Drosophila melanogaster: one gene and its partner. The protein of the gene in region 2 interacts with the protein of the main gene of each other region in a pairwise test. Each region holds a gene or a part of one and is shown on either strand. Other genes may lie near its edges.

Region 1 (4,350 bases), on a different chromosome or scaffold from region 2:
GGCTGCCTAATGTGCCGGAAAGCTGGCGAGCAAAAGTTAATGGCGAAAATCCTTTAGTCCCCCACCATAATGAAAACATAAAACGGAGCCACTAAAAGCAAATCGACAGCGGCACATATTTGCTAATCCAATAAGTGTTAGCTGCTTCACTGCCTGCGAAAAGGGGTGGGGCATTAAAGGGTTAAAGGAACGCATAAAATTTGAATACATTTTCGCCACTCAGAACGCTTAAACTCGTTACCTTAGCTAACGCAAATAATTCAAGTCGACGTTTTATTTTATTTTTTGTTGCCCTGTCAAACGTGTTTCGCGGTAATTGAACGGACTTTAAATGCCAGCCAAAAACTGTACAAAATGCGGGCTAACACAAACGGCTTTGGTCCAGGTTTTTCTTCTATTCTCAATTTTTTTTTTTTTCATTCTTTTTTTTATTTATTTGCCTTTGACGTGCCACTAAAACTGAGGTTTGGGTGGGTCGACGGCGAGGGGAAAGTAAAGCCAAATGCAGTTGGGACTCAATGGCGACTCCTATGCAAAAGAAGCAATGCTCGCCAACGCGACGACATCGAAACTTTTCCTATTTTTTGTGCTTTTATTTTTGGTGTCGCTGGTTTTAACCAGCAAAATAATTTGGTTATATAGAAAATAGTATCAGGAAAAAAGTTATGCCCAAAATATAACAAGAAAATAATGTAAATACCTTGAAAAATATGAAAAACCAAAATAAATTGTATAAAATATGTAAATATATGGAATATAATAAATTATATATTTTTGTTTTTTAAAAAACTTAACAAGGTACACATGTAACGTAAATTCTTTTTTTAACCTATCTAAATTAAGGCACGAAAAATTTACGAATGCTATTAAATAGGTTTTCATAAGCCTGCATATTTCTGAAGCACCCCAGTCCGTGTATGATCTCAAAATATTCAGGGTATTATGACTTTCCATGGGGACAAAGTCGAGCTGAAAACTGCCCCACAGAAAGAACAATTTTCGGGTCGAAAAGGCGCTCCATGGCAGCGAAAATGGCAAACTGACTTCAAGTGGCATTTTGACATTTTGTTGAATTTCAACTCGCTTTTCGTTTTGGGATGCAACGATGGGGTCCGAGGTATGTATGTAAAAAGTGAAAGGGGCGTGTTCAGGGGGCCAGAAAACTCGCAGGTGGCTGGGCATGCAAACGAAATGCAAAGAGACGCATATTTTTTTACTTAAATTAGAAAAACAATTGCCAGCGTTGTGGGTAGTGAAAGCTGCAACTTTGGTCAGCAGGTTGACCACACAAAAAGTTCGCAAAGTATTTACTTTTTTCACGATGCATTTCAACTTCGCAGAGCTGGTGTTAAAACTTCGCCATTTTGGAGCCCAGCTTTTTACCCATAAATTGTTTTTTAAGTGTAATACCAAACGAAGTTTAAAGGCTTTTTGTTGAGGTAATTAAAAGACTGGACTTAAATTACGAGGAAAACATATACAATTTTATCAAGTTACATTATAGAACTTAATCACTTATATCACTTTATAATAACCACAACATTTTCAGAGCCTTATCGTTTTTTTTTTTTTTTAAATAGTTTTTAATATTTTCACATACAACTCGAAAACTTGTTGCACCATCTCTAAGTGTGACCATTACTTGAGATCACATCTTAACTATCGATATGGCGTTATAGACGATTTCAGTTTGGCGAAAAGTTCCGTTAGCAGCAAGAACAAGAGCAAATGCATTGTAACCACATAATATTAGTACTAAAGTTGTTGTTTTTGTCCCATTGAAAATGGAGTTACGCAGCCGAACAAACAGGAGATTAGTTGACTTCCTCAAAAGTAAGATATTCTAAATTAGACGTCCTTAACATACATACATATATAACTAACTATTTGCTCAGGCGCAGGCGTTTACGAGGAAGGCATGGATATTGAGGAAATGACCGAATTAGCAAGTGTCGTGCAGCAATCAGCTAGTATCAGTCCCCAGGATGAGGATCTAGAAAGGGCTCTGCACGTGGGAAAAGTATTCAGTTAACAATAAACAATAAATAGTAATTAGCTTCTCATTAATGTCGACAGGAGAGCGAGTCTGATTTTTTGACTTCGCATCCCAGTGCTTTGCACAACTCCACGATGATCATGTCGCCGCAAGTGTCCAGAAGAAATCCCTCAGACATGGACAGTCCACCGAGCGAGCCGATCCGTATAACTTTTCGGGCTTTGGTGCACCGTGCCATGGACTGGAGTCCCACCACGGGCAATCAAATTCCCGATCGCAAGCGCATTGCTGCGGATCGCAATCAAAACGTCGAACTAGTTGGCAAACGTTCCAGAGCAACGCCGGCTATCAGCATTGGCCAGGCACCGGAGGATGAGCCGCACAATGCCGACGCCACACCCGTTTCCCCGGGCAACGAATGCGACTCCGGCGTCAGCTGGGAGGAGATATCTTTGTCCAGCGCCAGCGATAGCACCACTCTTCCTTCCATCGGCGAAATGCCCGATCGACATTTAATCAGCACCAGCAGCGTCGCCGTCTCGGATTTCTCAGATGCCAATGAAATCAGCCAGGAATAGGCTATTTCCGCCCATGTCTTGTGGTTTATGTTTCCCAATCGAATGCAGTAGAGATTTTACAATGTTTATAGCCCACATATGTCTAAGAAAGAGTACTCGAATAAGTTAACTATATGTCACATTAAAGGATTGAATTTATTGCATAATTGTGGCTTGTGTTTTTGGTCGAGCTGTATTTATTCCAATTCCAGTTTCCTTAACTATTTAGTCATAAGCATGTCAAGTTCAATAAAAACGAACACCCAATATATAAAAACATTTCCAAAGGTGGAATTAAATTGTGATGGCTTGACTTTACATAAATATGTATAATTACATTTGTATTTGGAAGTTTGTAAATTAAGCCTGTTGTACAACACTGGTACGTCTTTTTATAGGAATTTAAACTTTTTATGTTTAACTGCCATTTTAAGGCTAAACTTAACCAAAATTTTAAGGCTCAAATTTACCAAAACCTTTAGTATAAATTTCTATTTTTACTAAATGTTAAGAACACGTGACTTGAGCTTTAACTGAATTTTATATATTAATTACATATGCTCCAGTAAGTTTTCAACAGTATTTTGATCAACACTGATGTTCTTATTAAACATTCCTTGGAGTGGACACACTGGCCGCACGGCTTTTCACATTGTCATTTTCCAGGAGCTAGGCGTTGAAAATTTGTTAAAAATGTAATTAAAATTAAAGCAGTTCATTAAATATATTGATGGATTATTCATTGCAGGTCCCAATCAAAGGTTCCTCATATTGTGGGCGATGATGATGAATATCAAGAAGCTACGTAAGACTTCATTAATTTAGCTTCAGAAAAACACTGACAATATATGTATTTCCTTTCTAGTGCTCCCGAAAGTGACGAGATTACCTGCGAGTCTTCTGTGTAAGTCTTTTTAATATAATGTTTTGATAGATTATTTTTAAGTTGCCTTATAATCAGGGAAAGTGATCAAGATGATGACTGTTCCAACGAAGATGAGTGAGTAAATTTAATGTTATAAAACAAAATCATTTTTCTTCATTTTGTGAACCTTTTAGTATGGATTTGGATGGGGCAGACTGGTCCCCATATGTCACTTATGAGGCGGGTACACCGTAAGTTATAGTTTCGTAATGTAGAACGTGGAATAACGGGTTCGGATTCTCTACAGAAGACGTCCCCACAGTGCTTTGGAGATTACCGAAATTACCGAGTTTCCGAAAATTCCAAAGAAAAACCCCACCTCACCCGAACTGGTGATACAGAAGCCAGAGACTCCGGATCAAAACGACTCGGGATCTCAGGAGCGTCTCACCTTCTCTCGCGCCAATAATGCGCTATCAGAGTCCATTGGAGCTCGCGTTTCCCAACGTAGCAGGGGCAACTTGGAACCATTCATCCGTAGAATGGCACGTAGCCCTACGCCCGAGGCCTCAGAGGAAAACGGCTCGGTATCACAAGGTCAGCTGCTGGCCAAGCCCGTGGATGTCACCGAGTTCTTTCACCGCATTGCTGTGGGTCTCGTCGAGCAGCGCGTCTGCTTGAAGCCTTTCTTGGCATTGCGCAAACATATTGCTCAACTGGTGGGTCAGACTTTGAAGAAATCCAAGAGGATGCGCCGTTAATCCATTTAACATCCAATGTTACAACATCCATGTAATAAGTATCCTATAATATCCAATAAATAATATATTGCGTTCACCGATTGGATATGAAGTTAACTCAAATTCGTAAATTTAATTAAATTAATATAAAATATAAAAGTAAAATTAAGCACAATATTAGTATCCACACGG
Region 2 (6,873 bases):
AGCTGGGTCCTGCTCGGACTATCAGCCACCGAATCTCAATTAACATAATTCACCTAGGCCAACGTGGATGTGGGGCTCTTGACTGGCATTCCCGCTCATAAACTAACAGTTTCGGTAGGAATTGTCGCTCCTAGATAGCAGCTTCCCTAAACAGGAGCCCAGTTTCAGTCCGGACATGAGTTCAGCTCGAGAGGAAGGGGCAGCGGCTCATCTGCTTGGAAGCTGCACTGGGAAAAAACTATGGATACTTGAATATTGCAAATACTCTTATAAGATTTTACTTTGTTCTCTTTTCAATTGGATTTCACTTAATCCTTAAAATCCTTTAAATATTTAAGTACTTAGTACTTTTACACAGTTTTTTTAAACTTCTTTAAAGTCAAAAAACATAAGAACTTGTATGGTAGCACTAAGCCCTTAATATTTGCCTGCCAAATCTTTCCAACTTTAAGTTTAAAAACAGCGCAGGTTACTGTTTTTTTTCCAATCAGTGTACTTTCCTATTTATCCACTTTTGTCTCTGTGGAGCTATCGGCGAAGTGCTAGAGAGTTGGAGAACTCGCTCATTGTCAAAGTGGAAATTGTGTTCATAAATCAGAAACTGTCGCACATGTGTGACACCCGAAACCTCCGAACTGCCCTAGCTGCACTCCAACCTTCCCAGTCCAGTAACTCGGAACTTCCATTCCCCCTTTTGGCCTCCTGTTTATTGTGTTGTCAATTTGCTGCGCTCGTTGGCTTTCTGGCTGCGATGGCGTAATTAGATTTCGGCCTGGTCTAGTCGGTTTGGTTTGGTTCGGTTCGGTCTGGCACGGTATGGCATGGCGGCCAGGATAGATGGCGGCGACTGGAGGATGGGCTGATGGGAAGCAAAACCACGAAGTGAACGGGAAGTGTCGGACAATTAAGGCAGCGGCAGGGAGACCAGCAGGGAGCAGGAAGATCCTGATCTGGCGAATGAAGGAAGCTGGCAGCGAGTCAATTAAAATGTTCGATGCGATCCGATCAGCGGCGGTGCGGTCATTTCCTCAAAACCAAATGACCAACTGTCCAAGTTTTAAGCGAAACAATTTAATGGCAATTAAGTTTCGGGCATGGCCATTGTCAAAACTGGAACATCGTTGCCTCGATTGGATCAACCAGTTGACCGGGATGAGCGGCTGGAAGCGTTAACAGATCCACACATTTGGCCAACAATTGTTGCCCCCGATTCGAGCTCGAAGTCACTTTGTTAGTTGGTTAAACTTCCGCACAAATGCAACCGAAGTCTGGAGGAGATCGAAATGGGAATGGAAATGGAGATGGAGCCGGGAGACGACAACGACGACGATGACTGCATCCGCAATGCAACTTTCTGTGTGAGATTTCCGCCTATTGCAGCTGCAACTGGCGACGCATCTGGTGGCCACATGGGGGTTTCCGGCCGGAGGGAGCGGCTCCTCCAACTTCTGGCGCATCTTCGGTGTCTGAATTTATTACGAGATTGCAAATCTCCACCGCGATTACAGCAATTATGTGGCTTTCGGTAGGAGGTTGGCACATTGCCCGAGGAACGTGCCCAGAGGTGTGGAATTAAGACTCTCGGCGGAAGGGGTAAAGAAAGTGATGTCGAAAGCTCTGGTCATGAAAAAGAAACGATTTTATAAAATTGATAAAAATTATATGTATTCATTAGTAAGCTGGGAATATTACCCCCCCCCCCCCCTTGCTTAAATATTAAGTATACGCCCCTGGTCGCTTACATGGCTCTCCTCTAATAACTCAATTTCAACACCAGCAAAAACAAATGTGAAAGTGCCAAAAGCCGCCTCCCCCCCTCTCTCTCTCACTCTCTTTCCCGTGGTAACCACCAATCATAGCCAAAAATCCCCAATCAGCTCAGCATCTGGCCCAGGTTTCGATGCACTCGAACAGATAGTCCGACCTCGCCACTCTAAGCCGCTTTAAAGTCCCACCATGGGCTGCAATAAAATAATATAAAATGAAATAAAGATAATTTGTCAGCTACTTCATTTGCGGCAGCGCGTGCGTGACTCGCGGTTGCCTGTTGCATAATATCTGCAGTTGAACTTTCCCAGGGGTTAGCACTCTCTTACCCACCAGTCACCACATCACACCAACCAAGGGGTATAAGTTCTATAAATCAAATATAAATATCAATATCAAACTTATAAATATATAAGTTCCTATAAATCACATAATCAGGCTGGGCCAAGCCTTATAGGAAATGCGTGGCAGTGCATTTCACTTGTTGCCATTAATAAATTAATTATACAACCATGACGGCACTGAGCTCAGTTTTATCCCCAGACGCACGCACTCTAAGCCCTCGTAAAAAATAAAGAAAAATGCACACAGATGGTAGGAAAACTTGTACATTTCGTTGTCATCAGCACAGCAACAGCGCATATTGTGCAAATGTTGATGGTCAAAAGTTGGCTAACGCCTTGGCCAAAGCCATGGCCAAAAAAGCAGCTCGAAATGCAGCCAGCTAAAAGACAAATATCAAGTGAGTGGTGAGGTTTTCAATTTTCAAAAGTCGAAAAAGAAATGCTCTGTTTGAAGAATATATATATCAAATATAAAGACAACTTTAATAAACTCTTAATCATTGGAATTTATAAAAAATGTAACAATTAATATAGGTAAAATCATTTTTGGCATCGTAGCACCTGTCTAATTTCCATTTATCCCCACAGATTTGGAATGCAAATGAATTTCCCCGAATAAATTGCAAATTCGACTTCCTTCTGAGCGTTGCAAATTTAATCAGCAGCTTATTATGCCCCACACATAAAAAAATAAAATTCAAAAAAAAAAGAAGGAGGAGAAAAAATATGGAAAATGCAACAGCAATACGCCAGACATGGCCGAGTCTTTTCGGCAAAGGCAAAGGAATGGAAATGGAAAATGGGAAAAGCGAGGCAGCGAAAAGCGAGCCAACAACAAACCGGCTGTCTCCGTGAAAACTGCGCGGCCCCGAACACACACAAAACTCAAGTGGCGCGAAAATTCGAGGCACAGTTGCAACAGCAGCGCGCAAGCGTGCGGTTTTCCTCCACAGTTTTTCCAGCCAAAAGTAAACAAGGCAAAGCGAAACGAAACGAAACGAAAACTCAAATTAAAAGTCGCATTAAATAAATGAGAAACGAACGAGGACTGCGACGAGCAAGTTTAAACAAAGCTCAAAGACAAAGTTGAATGAATATAGTCAAAGTTTGCTTTTCTCCGCAAAGGATATGAGAAAATCATTTTGTAAAAAAAAAAAAAATATAAAGAGCTTGCATTACATTTAACCAAAGTGCTGGCTAACAAGGATATAATATACCTTAAAATAAATTAAATCAAAAAAATATAAACGCATCAAGTTAAACGTCGAGCAAATTAATGAATATTTTACTGAATGACAAAAGTGAAACTTATAAGTGAAACATCTAAGGACGAATAACGAAAACGATTAGTTAGATAGTTAAATTTGTTAAATTAGATTTTATGGTCTTGTTTTATCTCAAAAATCTCTTAGTTACTAATGAAAAAGATTTTGGTAAAGAATATAAGATCAGAAATAATTCTCATTAAACATAATTCATTCATTTGTCATTCATTTGATTTTCTAAGAACAGGAATTTTTGAAATCGCAGGATACTATTTTTCTGCCTTCATAGTTTTAAAAAGTACTCATTTAACACAGCCTTTGCAGATGTGTCATCTGTTAAAGTACCATATAATGATTTTTGTTTTACTAATTTGTTAATTATGATGTTTCATAATTATGGGGAAATGTTTAAAACAGTTAATATGAGAATTTGAAAAGCACTTTTCGCAATTAGCTGCTGTGATAGTTAACCAAACTGAACGAATACTTTTCCAGGTCCGACAAACAAACAATAAGGTTCAACGCTGAACAAACTCATTTACAATTTGTATTTAAAATACCAAGACGGCGAAAAACAGCGTGGGAGAATAACAGAAATTTCAACAACAATTACAAATTGAGCTGCCACTTTTGTGGAAACGCGAAAAGTGCAACGTGCAACTTGACGCCTCATTTGCCCGAACTTCCGCCGACATCCAAGGAAAATGGAAATGGCTATCTGCGGCGGTGGCATCCCCACCTTAATGGTAAGTACATGGGGTCGGTTCGTTTCGGGTCGGGTTCATCATTCTGAAATTTTAATATAAATAACCGACAACTGCAAGGGCCATCGAGGCGTGAAAACAACAAGCGCCAGTGGAGAGACTTCGAGCGAAATTTCTGGGCGTGGGCCTGGGAAAAGTGTCGGCCTTCGATGCAGCGATTTTCATTTTCTGGCCAGGAAATGGACGCGGCCAGTCACTGCATATGGCGGGCTTCTTCTCATTTTCCTGGCGCACGCACATTTCGCAAGCAATTTATTTTCATTGCACTTGAACTTCAATTAGCCCGGAAACCAGCGAATACTGGCCAGACTTCGTTTAATTACCAGGCATTAAAATCATAAAGCGTATTCCAAAGTATCTTTGCTCAAAAATTCGTTATGCAACTGGCATTGATTGTTTGTGCTTTTTGGCCAAAACGCTCTCCATTTTATGACCCCGGTCTTTATGAAGGCCCGCTGTGGTTATCTAACCGAATCGACATTGGAATCCATATCCAACTGCCGGGACGAAAGGAAAATGCACCAGCAGCATTTGCAATCGAAACTGGAAATTTGCAATTTAAGTGGATGGAAAAAAAAAAAAAAAAGTTTGCGACCATTGCTGGCATTTCTTTTCAGCCAAGTTTCCTTGTGGCCCAGGAAGCACTCGTACCCCCAGCACTTTCTAGACCCGTAAAGTCTTTTATGTGCATTGAACTTGACTTTGCCGCCGGTTTTTGGCCAGGGCAAAAAAGACCAAACTGGTTCTAACTGCCACGGCCACTGCAGTTGGTAACTACCCACGTTGCACCACCCACATCTCACTGCCACATTAACAATTAGCCCAAGCTGTGCCTTTTGCCTGCCTGCTACCATTTCTTCTGCTGTCTCGACTCGCTCTCCGTCTTGGTCTTGCTCTTGGTCTGGAACTTAGTCTTGGCCCTGGGTCTTGGCCCACTCCACTCCACACCATACCACTCGTCTGGGTGGCACGTTTTTCCGGCTTGTTGCATACAACAAGAGACGATGCCGTAAGCGCATATTGCAGCCAACAATTAAACAAACTTGTGGCCAAACAGCAATTACAGAAACCATTTAATGAAGCAACCTGCTCGACATGAAAGAAAGCGAACGAGAACAATAAAGTCCAGAGGGAATGTGTTTGTATTGATTGGGTTAAAGACATGGAACTTTAGAGAAAAAATTATAAATAAATAAAAACATACACGAATCCAAAACTTAATCAAATCAAACAAAAGATAGTGATTTAGTTTATATTAACCCAAAACGAATTTCCACAAAATAAATGATTTTTCTAAAACTAATTGAATGCTGATACAAAAAACACCTTCTGTTTGCCCACTGAGATGTTGATTCCCTTGTAACTAAGAAGCCAGAAGATGATCAAAACTAATTGAATTGCTTTTACAAGTTTATCACCTCCATGCCATGCTGACTTTTATTATTGGTTATTTGTCTTGAAAAAATAAACCGAGTACAATAAAAGCCAGTTCAGCACTTTTAAACTGCCAGTACAATAAATACAACTTGTAAACAGCTGTAAAACTCGAAAGCCAAATGGTAAAAACGTAATTTAATCAAACTTTAGCTCTCGCAGCTCTCGCTGCAAATATTACAGTTTCAATTTCCCAAATAATGTCAAAACAAAAGAAAACTTTTAAAACGCCATGCAGATAGTAGTATTAGAAGTAGGAGTAGAAGTTGAAGTAGTAGTTTCGCTCCTTTTGCCTCTCTTAGCGGATCGTAAAGGAATTGTTAACTAGTTTTCGCAGCACTTCTAATGCCATAAAATCCGACTGAGCAAACTGAAACGAACGCAAATAGCAACAATTTTTATCGCTTCTTTGCATTGAGTTTTCAAACGAATCTAGCGCGTGTCCCATCTGAAATGAAAAGACACTTTTTCCGGGCGAAAAAAAAAATAAACGCAGAACCCAAGCCACCCAAAAAAAATAAAAAGTGTTAAATAGAAAGCACATACAATTTTATGCAACCCAAGTGGGTGGCTGCCAGAGGTTCAACATTTGCCCACCATATATATATATATATATGTTTGTTTGGAAAGTTCACTGCATTTTTCAGGTTACTAGGCTCAGTTGGAGAGTGGGGAGGGGGGCACTAGGGTCTAGAAGGGGCGCTGGGGGCGTGGCCGTTTGGCAGCATCGTTGGCGTTGCTAACTCCATAAAAATTCACTCAGGCGCAGTTTTAACGGCCGTTAAATGTTTACGCGGCTGCATTTTTAACGACCGTTGACAGTTCATTTGGGTTTGGCTCGATGGGCTTAGTTAAAGTATCCCCAGGGGGGGTGGGGGCGATAACTTCACTATGTAGCCATTTACGAGTCTCACGGTATCTTAACACCTGATTTAGTTTAGTTCCTGCTTCTTAGCCAGTGAAATACCACAGCCGCTCTCCTATCGCAATCCATCGCGAAATGTAAGTTAATAATACAGCTGATCGAATTGCATCACTGGCCAAAATCAATTCGACAGCCATAATTGGTCTTACGTAAAACGAGAGTGCCAGCAAAGCAATTGAAATCGCACATCAATGAGTTTAATGGCCATAAAAGCCAAGTTCAACCTGTTGACGTGAAAGTGGCGGCCAGGCGAACTCCCAACAAACTTGGATCGCGAGGAGCGCGTGCTAAACTCGTTCCATTTGTTTATTTTTTCTGATATTTCTTTTCTTTCTCCTCACTTTTATTTCGCCAAGACCCCAAGAATCGAGCTG

The links.
Region 1: the proteins of Cpr50Ca (region 2) and CG14931 interact in a two-hybrid assay, tested with the Drosophila melanogaster proteins (one large-scale study listed by BioGRID).

What each region holds. Positions count from the first base shown.
Region 1 is NT_033779.5:11,786,758-11,791,107, forward strand, and holds CG14931 (uncharacterized protein), read left to right. Parts: upstream 1-1,576; 5' UTR 1,577-1,784; coding exon 1,785-1,833; intron 1,834-1,895; coding exon 1,896-2,020; intron 2,021-2,076; coding exon 2,077-2,574; 3' UTR 2,575-2,718; downstream 2,719-4,350. Other genes in the region: CG14932 (uncharacterized protein), read left to right, coding at 3,247-3,248, 3,302-3,358, 3,419-3,457, 3,515-3,553, 3,613-3,669, 3,726-4,179; Tsp33B (tetraspanin 33B), read right to left, coding at 4,336-4,350.
Region 2 is NT_033778.4:13,766,895-13,773,767, forward strand, and holds the start of Cpr50Ca (cuticular protein 50Ca), read left to right. Parts: upstream 1-3,020; 5' UTR 3,021-3,079; intron 3,080-3,871; 5' UTR 3,872-4,080; coding exon 4,081-4,122; intron 4,123-6,873.